2 linked regions of the Tamandua tetradactyla genome follow. The protein of the gene in region 1 interacts with the protein of each later gene in a pairwise test. Links are inferred from orthologs where the notes say so. Each region holds a gene or a part of one and is shown on either strand. Other genes may lie near its edges.

Region 1 (10,143 bases):
GCATACTTAGTGGGCTCAAATAAGAACAAGGACTCCCATGTGGCTGGGGCTGAGTGAGTGAGGAAAGGGCAGGGGGTGAAGGCAGGGAGGGATCAGGGTGAATCACACTTGGCCTAACAGGCCACAGGGTAGACTTTGGCTTTTGAGTGAGAAAGAAGCCATCTGGGGTGGGGATGGGGATTCCAAGCAGAGGAGAGATGTGAGCTGACTTGGGCGTTAACAGGGTCCTTCTGACTACACTGTGGAGAACAGACTAGATCAGGCTGGCGTGGAGGCCAAGAGACCCTGGAGGGACCTGCAGTGTTTCAGGGAAAGGTGACTGAGGCCAGGACCAGGAGGTGGCAGAGAAGCAGTGAGGAGCAGTGGGGTCCCTGGCCTCCTCTCCAGCCCTCTCTCCCTGTGCCCTGGATGCCTCAGTCTCCCTGCAGTTGCTCAAACACATCTGGCTCTTCTCCACCTCAGGACCTATGCACATGATCCCCTTCTCCACCCCATCCCCACCACTGTAAACACTGGAGACCCTAAGGACTCCCTGCCCAGGCCAGGCTCATACTCAAAGGGTTTCTGGGACCATCTTGGGTGGTATGGAGGGTGGGGGATTAAGGAATAAAAGGAGTTGGGTCTAGGAGTGGATGTTTGAGAAAACAGAGAGGGGACTCAGGCAGAGGCAGCAGAGAAGGTGGACTCGCCAGAAAAGTCCAGAGAAGGAGCAAAGCCTTTGTGCCTGCTGTGCCTTAGCGAGCAACCCTATCCCCACCCCCTTTTCCTCCGCAATGCCTCTCCTTCCTCAGGCCTCAGTGTAACTGCGTCTCCTGCAGGGAGCCCACCTGCCCACATCACAGACCCTAGGGGAATACTGTCGGAGGGCAGGGACTGCGTGGGTCGTGCACTTCACTGCAGACCGACACCCAGCCTGCCCTCCCTCCGCTGAGACGGAGACCCAGTGGAGAGTGGGGATAGGGTTCTTAATTCCCACCAAGATGCCCCACGGGGGAACAGAGACCCTGTGACTCATGCTCTACTGGGTCTGTTGTGCACACAGCTGGCACTCAGTGGAGGCTGAGTCCAGAAGCCCCACTGCCAGGTTGGCTCCCTCTCCCCTGCCCCACCCCCCACCTCAGGAGGTGCAGAAGCGGATGTGTCAGCCTCCACGGGCCACAGCCCACCTGCACGGTGGAAGTCATCTTTGCTGTAGGTGAAGTCCTTTAGGAAGGTGATGCATTCGGTCTCATGGTTGTAGCGTCGGGCTGTCTCCAGAAGCATGATCTGAGGGCACAGGGGAACGGGGTGGGCAGCGGCAGGCTGCAGGGACCCCTGTGCCCACTTCTCCTGGCCCTTCCACCCCCCACTCACTCAGCCCCACTGGCTCAGGCCTGCACCCGACACACTCCACACTTGTCCCTCCTCCAAGCAATATCACACTTGTGCCCACCACCCAAAACTCACTTTCCCCAGACTCTGGCGAGGCAGGCAGGGGGGCTTTGGATTTGCTCACTGCTCTATCCCCAGCACCTAGGACAGGGCCTGACATAAAGCAGGCACTCAGCATCTACTTGTTTGATCCTGACATCAACCCTTCTGAAAAGCCTTCTCAGCACACTCTCTCTAAATGGGTCCCTTCAGTCCATTCAACTACTCCCCACCTTAGCCCTCTCCCCTTTCTCTCCTTGGGGCCACACAGCCTGACTTTCTTGTTTCTGTGTTTGACGTAATCTTCTCCCAAGAGGGCAAGGAGAGGGGGTTCCTGCGTGCTGCTGTTCCCAGCACCTGTCCTGGGTTTATTTGGAGCTCCTGGAAGCCGAAAGGGAGAGCCCACAAGGCTGGGCACTCAGCCCTTACCTCAATGGTGGACGCCTTCAGCAGGGCGATCTGGTCCTCACGGCCCAGCTGCATAAAACCGGGCACCTGCTTAGCAAAGTCAACGATCTCCTGGACCGAGATGATGGCCAGCTCCGTGAAGTGGGCGAAACGCTGCTGGCGGGCATCGCGGGACTGGGGGTCTGCACCCAGGGGCCAGGGCTGGGGACATGGGGACTATGGTCACTCCCAGTACTCTTCCCTTGAGCCCAACACTGGAGGGCATCTTGAGGCAGAGCCTGCACCTGGGGGTACTCTCCTCTCAAAGCCCCTGGACTCTCAAGCCTCCCTCCCTCCCCAAGCCCTGGGCTGAAGCTAGCCAGATGCTACTTGCTCCTTGAGGCGGTGGAAGGGGCAGTACCGTGACTTTGGGCTGATCTGAGAAGGAACGCTTGTTGCACTGCAGCTGGGCTGCCACCAACTGCTGGATCATCAGTTCCTGAGCCGCCGTCAACTGGACCCCTTCGCCTTCCCCACAGCCCTGGCTGCTGGCCTCTGACCCTCCAGGAGAGGCCCCAGACCCAGGGGCTGAGCTGCTGCTGCTGCTGCTGCTGCTGCTGCCCCCTGGCCCCACGGGCGACTGTTGCTGCTGCTGCTGCTGTTGCAGCTGCTGCTTCCGAATCTTTTTTTTCCGGATCTGTTCTTCAGAGAGGACGCCTGTGGGGAGATGCAGGCCTCAGCAGAGGTCCCAAGCTGGGTGGGGACCAGACTGGCTCTGCTCCCTCAATCCCAGCACTCACACTGCTCCCTCATTCCTGCCTCCTTGCATTTGCGCAGCCGGCACTGCTGGCACTTGCGCCTCATGAAGGCATCCATCTGGCAGGTGCCACCGCCCCGACAGGCATAGCGCCCAGCCCCACCGCGGACCACACTGCGCCGGAAGAAGCCCTTGCAGCCTTCGCAGCTGAGCACGTTGTAGTGGAAGCCAGAGGCCTTGTCCCCGCACACCCGGCACAGTTCATGGCCCAGCATCTTCGGAGCCGGACCCTTCTTCCGCTTGCGCTCTGGCTCTTCCACTGGGTATGGGGTGACTGTGGTGGGTGGACAGAGATCGTGAGGAGAGCCTCAGAGAGAGCACCCAGAGAGGTCGGCCCCAAGGAATTCCAACAAAGAACCAACAGACAGGAAGAGAGATGCATATACCCAGGGAGGCAGGGATTCAGAGGAAAAAAGAGGTGTGGGTGAACCCCAAAGAATGAGTCAAAGTAAGAGATGTCAAGGAGGAACAGAAGGGAAAAAATCCCGTCTCACCCTTCCAGTCTCTGCACTTTCTCCCGAAATCCCTCCCAGACTCCCCAGGTGAACTTCCTGACCCCTGGGTCCTGTCTCACCCACACTGCAGGCTGAGCCTGCCCCATCAGTGCCTGGGACATCAGGGTCCGGACCCCCAGTCCACGGCTCTGGACCTTCTTCCTTTATGGCAGGGGAAGAAGAGGGGACACCGGGCTGAGGGGGTGCATTTCCTGGGAGAAGGGAGGAAACAGAAGGAGACTGAGTGAGCATCTTCTGATTGTGTGTAATAGAGGCTGGGTGGGAAAGGAGGTCACTCACCAGGCAGGGGGTTGTCCAAGGAACTGGTGCTAGGAGTGGACATGGTGGGGTCACGGAGCAGCCTACAGAACAGACAGGGTTAAAGAAAGGGCTTGTGGGACCACAAGGGGTCAGGTGGTACAAGTTACCAGCCCGACTGGGACCCAATACCTTCCTCCAACTCCATCCAACTTCATTCAAACTCCACCCCAGCCCCAGGCCAGAACCCTACCAGCATACAAATCCTCCCCTCCTAGTCTAGCAAGCCACGCCTCTTCCCCTGCTCCAGGACAGCTTCCAGCCACCCGGTCCCTATCCCGCCCACCTGCCGGTTCCAGGTCCCACCCCTTAATGATGCCCCGCCCTCATTTCCTCCCTTCCCTCACACCCCACCTACTCCCACTCAGAGACTCCACCTCCCACAAGCTACCCCCTCTCATCCTGACCCCACCTCTTTCCATCAGGCTCCGCCCATCATGCACAGCCCATAACCTGGCCCCAAGCTCACGCCATCAGTACCCCTCCCAAGCCCCGCCCCATTACTCGCTCCAGATCCCGCCCCAGCCCGCCCATCATGCCCTTGGCCCCACCTCCTTCCATCATGCTCCGCCCCTCACCTCGCTCCAGGTTCCGCCCCTCTCCGAGCGCCAGTAGGGGGCGGGGCTCATGGCTGCTCACGGGGGTCTCGTAGGCGGCCTCTTGTGGGGGTCTCCGGCTCCCGTTGCTTTGGAAACAGCCGGGGCGATGCGAGCTACGGAGGGGAGAGAGTGGAAGAAAGGCTGAGCGGAGCAGCGCAGGGGACGCCGGGAAACGCCGGGCCCGGGACTCCTCCGGCGCCCCTCTGCCCTCGGGTGCACCTGCCTTCGTTCCCGTTTCTCTGCTTCTCTTCCTCCGCTCTGTCCCCTTGCGCGCTACCACTGCTTAGGTCCCCTCCAAAACTAACTTCGCCACTTCTTCCGGCAACCCCGCCGTGCGTCACTTCTAGTCAAGGGCGGGGAGTGAAAGGTGACGGACTTCCGGTCCGCCCAGAGCGGGCCGAATCGGTTGCCCCGAACGGAAGTCGTTTCCTCACCGGAAGTTTACCCTGGCCGGGTAGTTCCCCTGGGGTCCGGCGGGAGAGTTCCGGGCCCTTTCGTGTAGCTATCCAAGCGCCTGGCTCGGTTTTAGCGCTCCTTGGTGTAGCTGCATTTCGCAAATGGCTGGTTAACCCGTTTTTGTCCTTTTTTGGGTTAACAAGTTTTCGGATTTTAGAGATGTGCTGCTTGTTGGTTTTAAATAAAACTACAATTCTGCATCCAGAAGATGTTTTGTTTTGTTTTGAATGATTTAGGGATTGGAATATTTTTTTAAAACTTCCCCTTACAAAAAAAAAAAAAGTAAGAAAGCTCTTGAGGAAATTCTAACAGGTAGAAGATGGAAATTGTTCTACAGCCTCCCCCTTCCATATATGCACATTTGTAAAATTAAGTGTAAGAATATAAGATCTATACTCTTTTTGTAGCTTGTTTTGTCCACTCAATAGGATAATACAAAGATCCTTCTGTGTTTAGCAAATGCTACTCCCCAGTCTGAATTTATAGGCCGTGAATGTTTCACCCAAAGAGGTTACCGATAAAGAGAAGTGGTTATCGTGGGCTTCGGGGTCAGAAGGAATGGGTGCCCCTGCCACTTCCTTGCTGTGAAACTTTGAAGTAACTTAACCAACCTCCCTGCGCCTCGGTTTTCTCATCTGTAAATTGGAAACGAGGAAAGAATCGACCTATTGCGTTGTCATTATGATTTACTGAGAGGTAAAAAATATGAATTGGATGAGCTCGAGGGAGAAGCCCTGTATGTTGGCGCTATTGTTTAGTCCTGTGGGTATTAAGGTATTAGAACAATGCAAAAGACTGTTGACGAATTACTGAAGTGTGAGGGCCAGTTACGTCATAGTTGGCCCTCCTCTAGAACAGATATGATTATTCATATTTCTTAGGAAGGATGAAAGGATTCAGGGAGCATAGTGTCTGACGTATAGAAGCATCCAATCAGCCATCCTAATTGCAGATGAGTGTTCTCACTTGTAACTGACCCACTGTCCACGAAGTTTTTTTTAATGCAACTGTGTTGAGAGATATATTCACGTACATAGACTCATCCAAAGTGTACAATCGGTGGTTCACAGTATCATTATATAGCTGTGCATTCATCATCACAATCGATGATGATTGAAACATTTTCATTACTCCAAAAACAATAGAAATAAAAGTAAAAAAGAACACCCAAAACATCCCATGTCCTTCCCTTAGTATTTATTTATTTTTGACTTTATTTTCTTGCTCATCTGTCCGTACACTGAATAAAGAAAGTGTCTGTCACAAGGTTTTCACAATCACAGGGTCACACCGTAAAAGGTATAAAGTCATACAATCATCTTCAAGAATCAATGCTACTGGATTACAGTTCAACAGTTTCAGGTATTTCCCTCTAGCTACTCCAATACACCAAAAACTGAAAAGGGATGTCTATATACTGCATAAGAATAACTTCTAGAATGACCTCTCAACTCTTTGAAATCTCTCAGCCACTGAAAATTTATTTTGCTTCGTTTCTCTTTTCCCATTTAGTCAAGAAGGCGTTATAAATGCCGTAATGCCAGGTCCCAGCTCATGCCCAGGAGTCCTGTCCCACGTTACTGGGGAGATTTACACCCCTGGGAGTCATGTCCCATTTAGGGATATCCCTCAACTTTCTTTTTTTGTAGGCAAAAGTAATAAAGTTTATTAAAAGAGAAGTTTATTAAAAAGAGAGGGTACACGTTAGAGAAGTTAACCCGTGCGTGCCCAAGGGGGGACACCCACTGAATGGAGTGGGCCAGCTTGTTTTATAGGAAAGTTTTATCGGTGGTGGGTTTCCATAGTAACCTTTAAATAGTAGATGTCTTCTTTATTCTAGGAGGACATAGCTAGCAGAATTCATGGTTTCTTATCACGAACCTAAAATTGTCTTTGGGCAAATGGTTAACAATCTTTATGTCCTTAGGTTTCCTATTATTAAGTAAGAGTTTGCTTTGGGCCCAGAATTTTACAAGATTTTATAGTTTGGGGAGGATTCAATGTTTTGGGGATGTTTGGGTTTTAGTGACATTTTTGTCCCGGGAGATTTGCAGCTGAAGTCTGCAGCTCTGAGTTAGATCCTCGGAGCTAGATAAGAAACAAGGGACTTAGAGTTGCCTGTTAACTCTTTCAGAGCTGAATAGGAAACCAGGGACTTACAGTTGTACTATTTTATCCTGCTTCAATCTGCTCCCTGAAAGAATTCAATCTCTTTAATCTTAAAGGGGTTGAGGGATAACTGTTTGATGTTTTCAGAGTTGAGAGAGTACATGTGGGAATGCGCATAATTGCTAACAATGATGGAAGGGCTGGGGGATGTTGGAAAATACAAAAAAATCATTATAATTCACCCCATCCCACCACTCTTACAATCTTTGCACCACTTCTTCCACATAAGTCCCTGAGTGTGGGAAAGGGAGGTTACAGGTTTACAGCTTGCAATGCTGAGAAATGAGGGGGAAAAAAAAGCATTTGGGGGAAGGCAAGTACATTTAGAGCTGCTTTGCCTCCCTGTTCATTTATTTTGTCACATAATTATGCCCCAGTCACACTTGAACGTGGACATCTGTCCCATAAGCTGGTATACAGTTGAATCGGGAGTTCTTTAGTAATTTATCCAGATTGAGCTGTTCCAAACAGATGGGCAGGTCCTGTTTAGATGTACTCTTGCTTCTTTTAGAAGTCTTTTTTTGTTGAAGATGATTTTCTCATTTGTAGTTGACTGCAAACAGAATGCAGGTCTCCAGGACCAGTGTCTTACGTAGAAAATGCTGCTCTCCTGGGATCTTTTGGGATCACTCCTGCCAGGCTCACCTGAATATGTAACCAGTGCCCTGCCAGCAATGCTGCCAGCTGAGCTCCGATCAGGTTCAACAGTCTTGAAACTAAAAGAATTTAGAGATGAGAGGGACAGTAGGCATAAATAGTAAAGTTTACTGAAAGAAGTTGATAAAAAAAAAGAGAGAGTATGTGTTAGAAAGGTTACCGTGGGTAAGCCCAAGGGAGGGACACCCCTCAACTTTTAAAAATAGTTTTGTGGAGATGTAGTTCGCATACCATGCAATTCACCCATTTAAAGTGTGTGATGCAACGGTGTTTAGTGTCTTCACAGATTTGGACAACCATCAATGTGGGCAATCATCACGATCAATTTTAGAACATTTTTATCACCCCCGAAAGAAATCCCACACTTATTAGCAGCCAATTCCCATTCTCCTTCCCCCCTCCAGCCCCCACCCCAAACTTCTGGCAACCACTAATTCACTTTCTGTCTCAAATAGACACATACAACATGGCGCTTTTTGTTACTAGTTTCTCGCACTTAGCATGTTTTTTTTCTTTTTTTATTAATTTTTAATTTTTTTAAAAATATAACAACAAACAAATGCAAACATTCTTAATTTATGATCATTCCATTCTACATATATAATCAGTAACTCACAGTATCATCACATAGTTGCACATTCATCATCCTGATCATTTCTTAGAACATTTGCGTCAAATCAGAAAAAGAAATAAGACAACAGAAAAAAATTCATAAATGCTATACCCCTTACTCCTCACTTTCATTGATCACTAGCATTTCAATCTAAGTCAACCTAAGTCAGACACAAGGTTTTCACAATCACACAGTCACACTGTGAAAGCTATAGCATTATACAATCATCTTCAAGAAACATGGCTACTGGAACACAGCTCCACATTTTCAGGCAGTTCCCTCCAGCCTCTCCATTACATCTTGACTAACAAGGTGATATCTATTTAATGCATAAGAATAACCTCCAGGATAACCTCTCGACTCTGTTTGGAATCTCTCAGCCATTGACACTTTGTCTCATTTTGCTCTTTCCCCTTTTGGTTGAGAAGGTTTTCTCAATCCCTTGATGCTGAGTCTCAGCTCATTCTAGGATTTCTGTCCCATGTTGCCAGGAAGGTCCACACCCCAGAAGTCACGTCCCACGTAGACAGGGGGAGGGTGGTGAGTTTGCTTGTTGTGTTGGCTGGAGAGAGGCCACATCTAAGTAACAAAAGAGGTTCTCTTGGGGGTGACTCTTAGGCCTAATTTTAAGTAGGCTTGACCTATCCTTTGTGGGGTTAAGTTTCATATGAACAAACCCCAAGATTGGGGGCTCAGCCTATTGCTTTGGTTGTCCACACTGCTTGTGAGAATATCAAGAATTCAACTTGGGGAAGTTGAATTTTCCCCCTTTCTCACCATTCCCCAAAGGGAACTTGGCAAATACTTTTTTATTCACTGTTCAAATCACTCTGGGATTTATCGGGGTATCACTCTGGACAAACCAACAAAAGCTCATGCCCTACTTCAGCTTCCATGTACTTAACAATGTTCAATTAAGCTGACTACATAAGTTATATTAGGAAATGCACTAATCAAAATATAATTTTTTGTACCAAATAAGCATTTTTGTTTTAGTCTTACATAAAAGTTAATATTTTAAAATATTTATTACCATCTATTTTCAACACCCTGCAGTAATGACATTCCTTTGCTCTTCTTCACGCAAAAACATTTTTTTGATTTGTACACTTAGTCACCATCATTATACGCTCTAGACTTAGCATGTTTTTAAGGTTTATCCACGTTGTAGCAGGTGTCAGTGCTTCACTCTTTCTCATGGCTGAACAATATTCCAATCGCATGGACGTACCACATTTTGTGTATCCATTCATCAAGTGATGGACATTAGGGTCATTTTCATTTTTTTTGACTCTTATAAATAATGTTTCTATGAACATTTGCGTACATATTTTTGCATGAACATGTGTTTTCATTCCTCTTGGGTACATGCTTTGGAGTGGAATTGCTGGATTACATGGCAACTCTATGTTTAGTGATTTGAGGAATAATCAGACTGATTTTCAAAGCAGCTTCCCATTTTTCATTCCCATCAGCAGTATAGAGAGGTTTCAGTTTCCCACGTTCTCATCAGCACTTGTCGCTGACTGTAAATTTGATTACAGCCATCCTATTGGACACGGAGTTATATTTAATTGTGGTTTTGATTTGCATTTCCCCGACGGTTAACATCTTTTTTCAAATAGCTTTTTTAATAGAGAAGGTGTAGGTTACAGAAAAAATATGAACCTCTCATATCCCCTTCCCCTATTATAACACAGGGGGCTGGTGTGATACCTTTGGTACAACTGATGAAAGAATATTATTGTAATTTTACTATTAATTATTGTCCATGGCTTATATCATGGTCCCCTGTTTGCAGTTTTGAGTTCTATATAGTTTTATTTTTTATTTTTTATTTATTAATTTAAAAAATTAACAACAAACAAAAATATTAACATATCATTCCATCCTACATATATAATCAGTAATTCTTAATATCATCACATAGTTGCATATTCATCGTTTCTTAGAACATTTGCATCGATTTAGAAAAAGAAATAAAAAGACCACAGAAAAAGAAATAAAACGATAACAGAAAAAAAGATTATACATACCATACCCCTTACCCCTCACTTTCATTTATCACCAGCATTTCAAACTAAATTCTATGTAGTTTTTTAAAAAACATTTTTGTTCTAACATATATACAACTTACAATTTCCCTTTTAAACCACATTCAAATACATAATTTAGTGGTGTTAATTACTTTTACAGTGTTGTGCTAAAATCACCACCGTCCAT
Region 2 (10,802 bases), on another chromosome or scaffold:
GTGTTGAATAAAAGTAGTGAACTGATTTTATTACTACTTACTAAATTGTGGAGTAGTTATTCTTTTACATTATTTGAATGCAAACATCTAAAAGAAAATGTTAACACATAAGTTATAAGCATGCTGTTTGAATAAACATGTGTTAAATGAAGCCATTCAATATAATTCTAAAAAGGAAACAAAGCTTTTAAAAATTGTTTTATTAGACTTTCTTGAAGTAAACATTTAAAGGAAACTAGATGTGGTAGTTAGATTCAGCTGTCAAATTGGCCAGGTGAACGTGCCTAGTTCTGTTGCTGTGGACATGAGTATGTGAATGTCATCTGTTGCTGATTACATCTGCAGTTGGCTAGGAGGTATGCCTACTGCAATTAATGATGTTTAACTTAATTGGCTGATGCTTAAATGAGAAAGCTCAATGTAGCACAACCCAAGCAGCTCAGCATACCTCATTTCAGCACTCGCAGCTCAGCCCAGGCCTTTGGAGATGTAGAAAGGAATCACCCTGGTGAAAGTTGTTGGAACCCAGAGGCCTGGAGAGAAGGCCAACAGAGATTTTCCTGTGCCTTCCCACATAAGAAAGAACCTCAGATGAAAGTTAGCTGCCTTTCCTCTGAAGAACTAATGAAATAAATCCCCTTTTATTAAAAGCCAATCCATCTCTGGTGTGCTGCATTCCAGCAGCTAGCAAACTAGAACAGATCTGGTACCAGGAGTGGGGTGCTGCTGTGGTTTGCAAATAACAGATATGTTGGAATGGTTTTTTGGATGGCTAAGGGGAAGATTTTGGAGGAACTGTGAAGAGAATGATGGAGAATTCCTGGAGTGCTTGACAAGACTGTTGGTGTAAATGGAACTACTGCCAGTCTGGACAAAGGGGGATACAAAGGGACAAATTGGAGTTTGCAGAGTGAGAACCATGGAAACTCGGGTCTGAAGCCAAGGAATGTCAGCCAGGAGAGTGGACCCACCCATATACATGGAGAGAGTGAGTTTGCCCTGAGGGCAGAGGATGAGTCTCCCACCTTGTTGCAGTGGAAGAGTTGTGCAGCCTTAGGCCTTGAAAAAGGTATAGCATGATCCTTGGGGACTGGGGAGAGTCTGGCTGCCACCAGATGGAGGGGTTGAACATGTGCCCCAGAAATGGCAAAGAGCCCAGGGGAGGTCCTGATGCCTGGAGAGAGTGGAGCCGAGAAAAAGGTGGTCTCCATAATGTTCCCCAAGGTTTATTTAGAAAGAGGCAGGCCACTGCATAGACCCTTGGAAAGGGTGAGACTGCCACGTTCTAAAGCCAAAGGATAAATGACTTTCAGACTTTGAAATCCAATGGTCTTTGCCCTGCAGGCTTTACATCTGTGTTTCTTCCAATTTCTCCCTATGGAAATGAAAACCCGCATCCTGTAAATATCCTCCTTTGCATATTGGCACCAGACAACTTGTTTTGAGATTCACAGATCCACAGCCAGAAGAGAATTATTTGCACCTTAATATTGTTTAAGGTGATGCATGTAGTTGCCAAGTTGACAAGAGGTGGACATGTGGTAGTTAGATTCAGTTGTCAACTTGGCCAAGTGAAGGCACCTAGTTCTGTTGCTGTGGACATGAGCCATCTGTTGCTGATTGCATCTGCAATTGGCTAGGAGGTGTGCCTGCTGCAATGAATGATGTTTAACTTAATTGGCTGGTGCTTAAATGAGAGAGCTCAACGTAACACAGCCCAAGCAGGTCGGCATACTTCATTGCAGCACTCGCAGCTCAGCCTAGGCCTTTCGAGATGTAGAAAGGAATCACCCTGGTGAAAGTTGTTGGAACCCAGAGGCCTGGAGAGAAGGCCACAGAGATCATCCTGTGGCTTCCCACATAAGAAAGAAACTCAAATGAAAGTTAGCTGCCTTTCCTCTGAAGAACTAATGAAATAAATCCCCTTTTACTAAAAGCCAATCCATCTCTGGTGTGTTGCATTCCAGCAGCTAGCAGACTAGAACACTAGAGTTGGTTTGTTTCCAAAATACAAACTGAGAATACTTTATTCCATTTCCAGAAAGGTGGTGACTAACCCAAAGTCACACAGTTAATGGCAGACCTAGTATCTCCTGGTGGTCCAAACTTGCTTAGGATTGGGTGGGCAAGTCAGTTACATTCTGGAATAAAGTATTAGCAAATCCTCCATTGCTATAGAGCTAAGGCAATTTCTCCAATCCAGGTTTTACCAGTGATAATCTGGTATTCTAATCTCCATCTGTCTGACTCCTATCAATCAGTTTACATCTGCAGTGCTATTTGTTGGCCCTCTAAGACCTAACAAGCTGCAGCCACAAATAGTATATATAATGACTTTCCAAATCTCATTTTAATCCAACAAATTTTTATCGTGCTCCTACTAAGAGTCAAGTATTAGTCTAAGTATTAGGAATATAAAGGTGAATAAAACATACACCCTTGCTCTCATGGAGCTTACATTTATAAAACATTACAAACATCAAACAAATACCACCTGTGATTATGTACTTGACTATACAATTACAGCTGTCAAAGAAATTTTAAAGGAAAGTTTTAGGGTCTATGGGACCATACAATGGGTGGGGTGGAGAGAAACCTAATCTAGAGTGAAGGATCATGGAGAAATGACCCAGAAAGTGAAATTCCAAAATTAGTGGGAGTTTGCTAGGCAAAGAGTCAAGGGAAGGGAGAGAAAATAGCATGTGCAAGGTCCAGTGACAGGAAATAGGCACATTATAGTTAGGGCAAGTCAAATTGTATGGAATGTATGTGTGTGAAGACTTCTCAATAAAAATATTTTTTTAAAAAAGGAACATCTTTAAAAAACAAAAAAACTTTGCTATGAGACTTCCACTCCTTATTAACATGATGAAATAGATAGCAGATTTATCCTCCTAGCTGAAACTAAAAAACTAGATAATATATAAGAAATAATGACAAAACTAGACAATGTATATGAAAAAAATTGAATGTATTAAGCAAAGACATTGAAGGTATAAAAAGATTCAAATTGAACTTATGGAGATGAAAACTATATGGTTTGAGGTACAAACTACAATGGACAGGATCAATATTAATTAGATGCTGCAAAAGAAAAGCTTAGTGAACTTGAAGACATAGCAATACAAACTATTCAAAATAAAATACAAAGAGGAAAAGATGTGTTAAGAAAACAAAGTAAAACAGATTTTCAGTGAACTGTAGGACTGCAGGATAACATTCTCCTGTTATATGACCCAGTCTTTCAGCACCTAAGCATTATATCCATACAAACACTTATAAATTAATGTTCACAGTAGCTTTATTTGTAATAACCCAAACTGGAAACAACCCAAGTTAAGTGGACAAAATAAAAAAAAAAAAAAAAAAATTGAGGGTTATCCATACAATGGAATACTACCCAGCAATAAGAAAGAATGAAGTACTGATACATTCAACAACATAGGTGAATCTAAAAATAAAGATGCTGCATGAAAAAAGGCAAACCAAAAAGGTGTGTGTGTGTGCATGTATATATATACATCGGGATTATATTTATAAACAAATTCTAGAACATACAAATGAATCTGTAATGACAGAAAGCAGATCAGTGGTTGCCTAGAGGAGGAAGGCAAGGAGAGGTGGAAGGGAGGGGAGAAGTACAAAGAATCAGGAGGAAACCTGAAAATTTTAGAGGTGATGGTATGTTTCTCATCTTGACTTGGGTGATGGATCCTAGGCTGTATATATGTGTGTGTATGTCAAAACTTATCAAATTGGATATTTTAAACTTTTGTTCCTTATTGGATCTCAATCATACCTTAATGAAATTGAAATAAGTAAATAGATAATAAATTAATAAGACTTTGAAACAAAGGAAAGAAAAGGCTCAACAGCTGGGAGATGCTGGGTTGAGCAACCGTTGTTTTTGTTTTTGTTTTTCTGGGTCTTGGTTTCGCTTTGTGTCTTTTCTGGTACAAATCCAAGCAAGTTTGTAAACTGAGGGAGGGAATAGGAAACTAAATGAAAAAGTGGAGGTAATTGATGGAGCAAGGTTCTGAGAGAGAAGAGATAGAATGTTCAGAGAAAGGCAAGGACTAGTTTGGACTAGAGAGGAGGGTACTATTGTACTCCTACCAGCAGGGCTCCCCTCGTGGTTTTTTTATCCTCCATTTGCTGAACCCTGGGAATAAGTTCTCATTCTTGGATACCAGTGACATTATCTTAATCTAAATTAATTGAAGTTGCCTAGTTCTTCCCACTGGAGAGTGACATATGTCCTCAGAAGTAAGTTCTCCCAAATTCAATGGTTCCTTCTAGGTCCAGGCTTAACTCATGTGAATCTATGACACACTCTAAAACTAAGATTATTTTTTGGAAAAGTGGACTGTGCCTTTCCATTTGTTAAGAAAGAGCCCTACAGTGAATGGTGTTTTGCTGTTTTACCAGAAGTTCTTTCCGATGAATGCCCTCTGAGCTCCACTGAGAGCTGCGATCTTTGTGTTCCTGTCACTTTATGTGGAACAGAGAAATTATATGGAAAAGGAAGCAGTCATCTGAAAGAAAGCAATCTGGGTCTTCAAAATTTATAATCTGGTTGGTTGTGTCTGTGTGTGTTAGCACTGCTCAGTGCGTAGTAATTGATATTTAATTCAGTGCTCTCCAAACAATACAAAAACAAAGTGGCCGTTTAACGAATCCCTTGTTATTTAGCATTTAAACAACTTGAACAAAGTTTTGATTTCCTAACATCGAATCTTAGTAACAGTCAACCTTCTAGGAGTGTTAATTTCAGAACCTTAAGACCACAGTCTACTACATAAAATCCTGATCCTTTAAAAATAGTTTCTGTGGTTTTTCATGTTCATTCAACAAATACTGTGTGCAAATTAACGTTGATTGTTTTTACCTGTTTTCATTTCAGTTATAACTTACATTCTCATTCCACGTTAATTGAACATACTTAAGACTATCCTGGCTCTAGCAAATAAAGGAGAATTTGCTGCTCATTTAACTACCGGCCACTGCAGACCAAAATTTTTCTAGCGATTGCGCTGTACAGGGTCTCCAGACTCTCGAAGCATGGCTCTTTTCCAGCAAATCGGGGAAATGAGTTTACTGTATTTCGCTTCTGGAGTTCTGAATCTCCACACCCTTAGGGGTGCCGATCCAGCCGGGCTCGCTGCATTTGGGCGAGAACTTGAGGAAAGCTGGTCTCCCAGAATAATTAGCTGGGGAAAGATGCCAAAGAGGCCGAAGTCACGGAAGTAGGTTCTCAATCTCTCGGGGGGCGGCATTTGGACCCTCTAGCTCTGGACTTCAGGTAGCCGGGATTGACCTGCATTAAGCGCAGGAAAATCTGTTCGCCTAGTTGCTACTTCCTTCAAAAGCGCGGAGTTATGCCCGGAGTAGCTGCCGAGTGGCTCCTGGAGCTGCTCCACCCAATTGAAGGGCTTGGGTATCCCTGTTCGGGTGTCCAAACGGTTGGTGGTCTCTGGGACCGCGACAAATATGACCTGGGCTGCGCCTTGCCTCACGGCTACTGATCTCGGCAGGATTAGACGGGCATGAAAGAAAGAGGGGTTTGGGGCTTCGCGGACAGGCAGGGTTTTGAACTTTAGTGTTCCCCGGAGCCTAGGAGAGCGCGCGCTCGCTTGCATCTTCAGCGACACCCCCTTCCCTGGGCAGGGTTGAGGGCGGCGGAGTTGGAATGTGAGGAGTGACTCCTAAGGCGAAGCTTGTGCGGCTGCCGCTCCAGCCCCCTCCCCCCGCCGCGAGTCGGAGGCGGGAAGCTGCGGGGTGGGAGTCACCCGAGCGTAATTGCCCAAGGCCCCTCCTGCTGCGGCGAGGAAGCGCCATAAAAGCCCCGCTGCGACGGCTCTAGACATCCGATCCACCGGTTCACACCCCTTGGAGAGGCGCGCCTGACAGCAGAGCACTTGCCGCCCATCCTACTCGCGACCACCGGCCTGCCAGCCACAGTGAGTGTCCAACCCCAGCCTGACCTGGAGCTGGAGCGTAGGGGGCGCCCATTCACTTGCCCCTGGTGCTCTGTCACTTTTTTGCGGTGTCCGGGAGCCCCGGGGATCCTGGAAGAGTCGCGTCGGGCTCCCCGGCCCTGCGCGCCCCTCGAGCCCCGACACGCGCCAGTCCATTTTGATTGCTAAAGTTCACTTGCTCCTTCGGATCCCCTGTGATCGTCCATTCTCTCTTCTCCCTGGCTCTCCCGGCTGGGTGGTCTTTTGGAGTAATCTTTTGGCGGCAAGGAGGGGAAAATACGAGACCCTCATCCCAGAGTAGGTGGCGGTTTTCCTGGGGGTCGCCGCCAGAATTCCCAGAGAGCGGCGCGTGGGAGGGAGGTTCCCCAGGCAACGCCCCTGAATGAAGAATCCCGGGCACTCGGGGTGCTGGGAATCATCGGGATCCAAACCGAGACTGGCTATGCCAGGGAGCAATTCTCCCCCGATCACCTCCATCCCCACCCTACCTCCGCCCCTCGCAAATCTGCCACCCAAGGTAAGCTCAGCCATCACTGTCGAGGTTCCTCCCTGCACAAGAGGGACCAGAAGTAACAGAGAAGAAAGTTTTATCCACCCACATGGGTTTGGAGATGAGGGTAGGAAAATAATCATCCTTCAGAACACGGAGAGGAATTCTAATTTTGTTTAGAAGTATCCAAATCGGCGCCAGGGCCTCCACCCTGAGCCGCGCGACTTACCACTGAGTTGCAGAGTTTTCTGGAGAAGCCGAGGGCCCGGCCAGGGCAGGTACCTGAGAGTCCTGAGCCGGCGGGACGGAGCTCACCACGCTCGGGTTCCCTCTGCTGGACTAGGTCAAGGGCGCGGATTGGGGGTCGTGGTTGGTAGCAGCCCGAGGGACTTAGTGGAATCAGAGCAGGGAGGTGCGCGCGTGGGACCTCGGAATTCCGAAGCCCCTTCCGATGCGCCTTGTGTCACAGATGCTGGGTAGCAAGCGACTGGGGCTGTCCGGACTGACGCTCGCCCTGTCCCTGCTGGTGTGCCTGGGCGCGCTGGCCGAGGCGTACCCCTCCAAGCCCGACAACCCTGGGGAGGACGCGCCCGCGGAGGACATGGCCAGGTATTACTCGGCGCTGCGGCACTACATCAACCTCATCACCAGGCAGAGGTGAGTGGACTCGACGGTACCCGGTCCCAGGTGCATCTCGCTTGCACAGCCTGAGACTCTGGGGATCTTAGGAACCGGGACCGTTTCTTTTTCTTCGCTGTATCCCAGAACCAGGAACAATATCAAACGCAATCAAGCTATTCACTAAATGTGCCCGTGGGCCACTAGGTACTGCACTTGCAGTTTGAAACTACAGTCGCAAAATCGTGATTCCCTGTTTCCCCAGACTGTGTGTCTGGCCATTTCCTTTTACCTGTCACCCCCGTGCCAATTTTGTTCTTCAAGCGCATAGGGGCCTGATTAGAAACCTGGATTGGAAAGCGCGGTGAAAGCAGACAGGAGTGCACCAGGAAAATGCTGGAGGGGAGGTGGGAGGAAAGTGTCTAGAAAACAAGACAGAACAAAACAACCTCAAGGAAACTGCTGGGTTGTCAAAGACACTGATGGGTTTTTCAACCTACCCAGGGTCGACTGAAGGATAATAGGTAGGAGAAGAAAATAGGGCTATATTATTTCTTCTGTTCAGTGTTTTTTGTTTGTTTGTTTGTTTGTTTGTAGTCTCAACCATTTACTTGAAACTTTCAGTTCCAATAATGAGCGATTTAGCATGAAAACAGATAATCTAAAATGCAGACTGTCCTGTTTATAGCAGGTGAATTCTGAAAAGAAAGTGTTCACTTGGTGCTTTACTCTGAACCCCCAGAAAGTCAAAACAAAATGTCACATTTTCACTCTCAACACTGAATAGTAGGCAAAAAAAAAAAGCAAATTCAAACTATTTTACAAATAATATAGGATTTGCCATTAGTTTTCAAAGTACATTCCCCTGACTTCTAAGTCATATCTTATTTTAATGTCTAAAGTCAAATGACTTGAATAAGATACAAAGTATGAGCCTGTTGGAAGCATTAATGTTACCTAACATGTTTCAATTGCTTTAGAAAGCATTTTTTAAACCATATTTTCACTGTTTACAAGTCAGGGAATAATATGAAAAACTCCGAAGGGGGCAAATTTATACTTTTAAAATAAAGTTTCTTTTAACTTTTTCATTAAAGAGGGGTGTAACATCCTGAAAAGTGTTTAGTCCCAATTTATAGAACATCAGAAATACATGAAAATGACAGAATTGTATAGTATTGTCTTGTAATCCCTTGAAATCTGATATGTTTAATTAGGGAAAAGTATAATGTTATTGCTTTACATTCTCATTTATGCTATCATACAGATTGGAGATGGGGGAGATTTGTACAAATAATAATTTTTTAAATAAAAATCACAGCTGTTATTTTTTTCTAGGAAAACCTTTGATTATTTCAGTAATAGAGTTCTATACAGTAGAATTTATTTTTTAAAGATGATTATCATTGCCCTTTTATAAATCTTTAGTATTTCAAAATGTTTTCCCAGGCATTATCTCATTTAGTTTTTCCCTCTAAGGTTTGAAGTAAGTATAAGTATCTCTATTTCACAGATCATGAAACTAATGACATTTCATGGAAAGTTTTTTTAAGGGGTGATGGAATTGGAGCCACCCTATTGATTTTCCTTGGATGTTGTCACCACCATTAGCAGTCATGATCCCCAATATCTTTAATTAGGAAAAAAAAAAAAAAGAGGAAAGGGACTTGAGTTTCTTGGGAAGGGATGTGGGATCGATGGGAACAAGCCATTCTTGAGGCAGAGCTTCCAGTGTAGAATGTTTTCACCCTGAGAGGAAATAGTAGGTTGAGATCACATGGGGCACCGTCCTTCCTTTGTTTTTTCCAAGAAATGATACGGCACTTTGTTCATGTACAGGCCAGAAAGTGAAGGTTTGTTCTTAGAGATTTCTCGCTCTCTATTTTCAGAATTCACAAAATTTCTTAACACACAAAATTACATCTGGTTTAGCAGAGATGTGGTCTTACCTATCTAATCATCCTTATAAATTCCTTCTTAGAAAACATCAGAGGCTTATAATCTGCACCCATCATCTCCATTCTCTACTCTCATTCCTTCTACCACAGAAACTCACTTAAATGTGTTGGGCAATATATCCTTGAAGATATACACATCTTTGAAAATAGTGTCGTTGTGTGAATATATGTTTTAATTTGGCATAAATGTTAGTCTGATGTAGATATCATTATCTTCCTCTTTCTCTTTAGTCCCAGTGTTTAAACCATATTCCTACTGCTGTATATACCTCTAGTTCATTGCTTCTGAAAACTGCATCTTTTTCTGGAGTATGAACCTACAACATTTTGCTTATACAAATCTCAACAGGGGTTCTCAACTGGGTGGGGGTGATTTTACCTTCTCACACCCCTCGGGACATTCGGCAAAGCCTGGAGACATTTTTGGTTGTCACACCTGGAGGGGGTTGCTACTGTCATCTATTTAATAGAGGACAGGATTCAAACATCCTGCAGTGCACAGGACAGCCCCTGCAACAAACAATTACCCCGCCCAAAATGTCAATAGCACTGAAATTGAGAAGAAACCCTGCCCTAGATTAGTGTTTCTCCATCATGTTTGCACAATAGAGTCACCTGGGGAGATTTAAAAATACAAGGAATCTGGGCTCCATCCCTGCCGAATTAAATCAGAATCTCTGAGGGTGGAAGTTGGAGCCTGGGCTTTGTAGGGCTTTAAAAGAATCTCCCCAGGTGATTGTAATATGCAGCCAGGTTTGAGAATCTTTATCCTAGGGACTCAATAAACACATAGTAGAGAAGAAGGAAAGTCCAGAAGTAAGAAAAGGAAGAAGAGTGAACTAGGCTATCCTAGATGCTACTTGTTTTAGGCCTATGCAAATCCTCCCTTATAGATTTTAGCTTCTTTATTGGTAAATCACAGAAAATATTTGCCACTTCTTTTCTTTATGGAGCATAAGGTAGATACATGAGTTAGTCCAGAGTTTTAATATTAATAAAATCAATGATGGACAGAATATATAAATATAGGCAGCAGTTTATGGTCTGATACCACAACCCCAGAATTCTTGGTGGAAATCTTACAAATGATGGGAGGTTTGGGGGCTCAGGTTTGATTTGTTTTTGCTTCCCTTGAATCTTAGCAGAGAAGCAATAATAGGAAAATCCTGACCAAAATTTTAGATTTGACTGTGGTCATTAGGCAGTTAGGGTGCACCTTCTCTCAGTTTTGTCCAGCACTTTTACCTATTAGTTAATGATTCCATGAAAAGGCTAATTTTTCAACTGTGAAGAAACTGCTGTGTGAAAGAGAAAATAGACTCTAAAAATGCAGTTTGGTATAGACTTGTCAAAATCCTTTGCTGAGAGAGGGAGTGAGAGACACCACAATACTCACTCACCTGGAGCAGGTAGTATATACAACCTGGGCAGGTAAACATGATTTTCGCTAATTTATTGTCCTATCCATATCCTGGTACAGGAGAAAAAAGACCAAGAACATTTATTGATTAGTAGGATTCTTTCTGATATTTACAGAGCAGGTTAAAATCACAGCGTCAGGGAGGCTTTTGGCTATTGATACCCCTAATTAAATGGGAAATATAGGACCCAGGAGCTATTGCTAGCTGTAAAAGAAAGAGTGCATTACAGCAGCAGTAACTTGCATTTGTGTATCAATGTCACTTTCAAAGCATTGTGACACACATTTCTCTTGGATCTACACAAAGACTGATTTAAGAAGGGGTGATGATTTTATTT

What was found.
Region 2: the proteins of NR1H2 (region 1) and NPY interact in a two-hybrid assay, tested with the Homo sapiens proteins (3 studies listed by BioGRID and IntAct). The link is inferred for Tamandua tetradactyla from reciprocal best matches to the Homo sapiens genes NR1H2 and NPY.

The regions. Positions count from the first base shown.
Region 1 is NC_135342.1:10,831,130-10,841,272, forward strand, and holds the start of NR1H2 (oxysterols receptor LXR-beta), read right to left. Parts: upstream 4,432-10,143; 5' UTR 4,331-4,431; intron 4,139-4,330; 5' UTR 4,005-4,138; intron 3,471-4,004; 5' UTR 3,452-3,470; coding exon 3,409-3,451; intron 3,321-3,408; coding exon 3,189-3,320; intron 2,889-3,188; coding exon 2,598-2,888; intron 2,515-2,597; coding exon 2,219-2,514; intron 2,020-2,218; coding exon 1,840-2,019; intron 1,267-1,839; coding exon 1,167-1,266; intron 1-1,166. UniProt on the Homo sapiens protein: Nuclear receptor that exhibits a ligand-dependent transcriptional activation activity. Binds preferentially to double-stranded oligonucleotide direct repeats having the consensus half-site sequence 5'-AGGTCA-3' and 4-nt spacing (DR-4).
Region 2 is NC_135327.1:99,322,862-99,333,663, reverse strand, and holds the start of NPY (pro-neuropeptide Y), read left to right. Parts: upstream 1-6,373; 5' UTR 6,374-6,420; coding exon 6,421-6,495; intron 6,496-6,937; coding exon 6,938-7,125; intron 7,126-10,802. UniProt on the Homo sapiens protein: NPY is implicated in the control of feeding and in secretion of gonadotrophin-release hormone.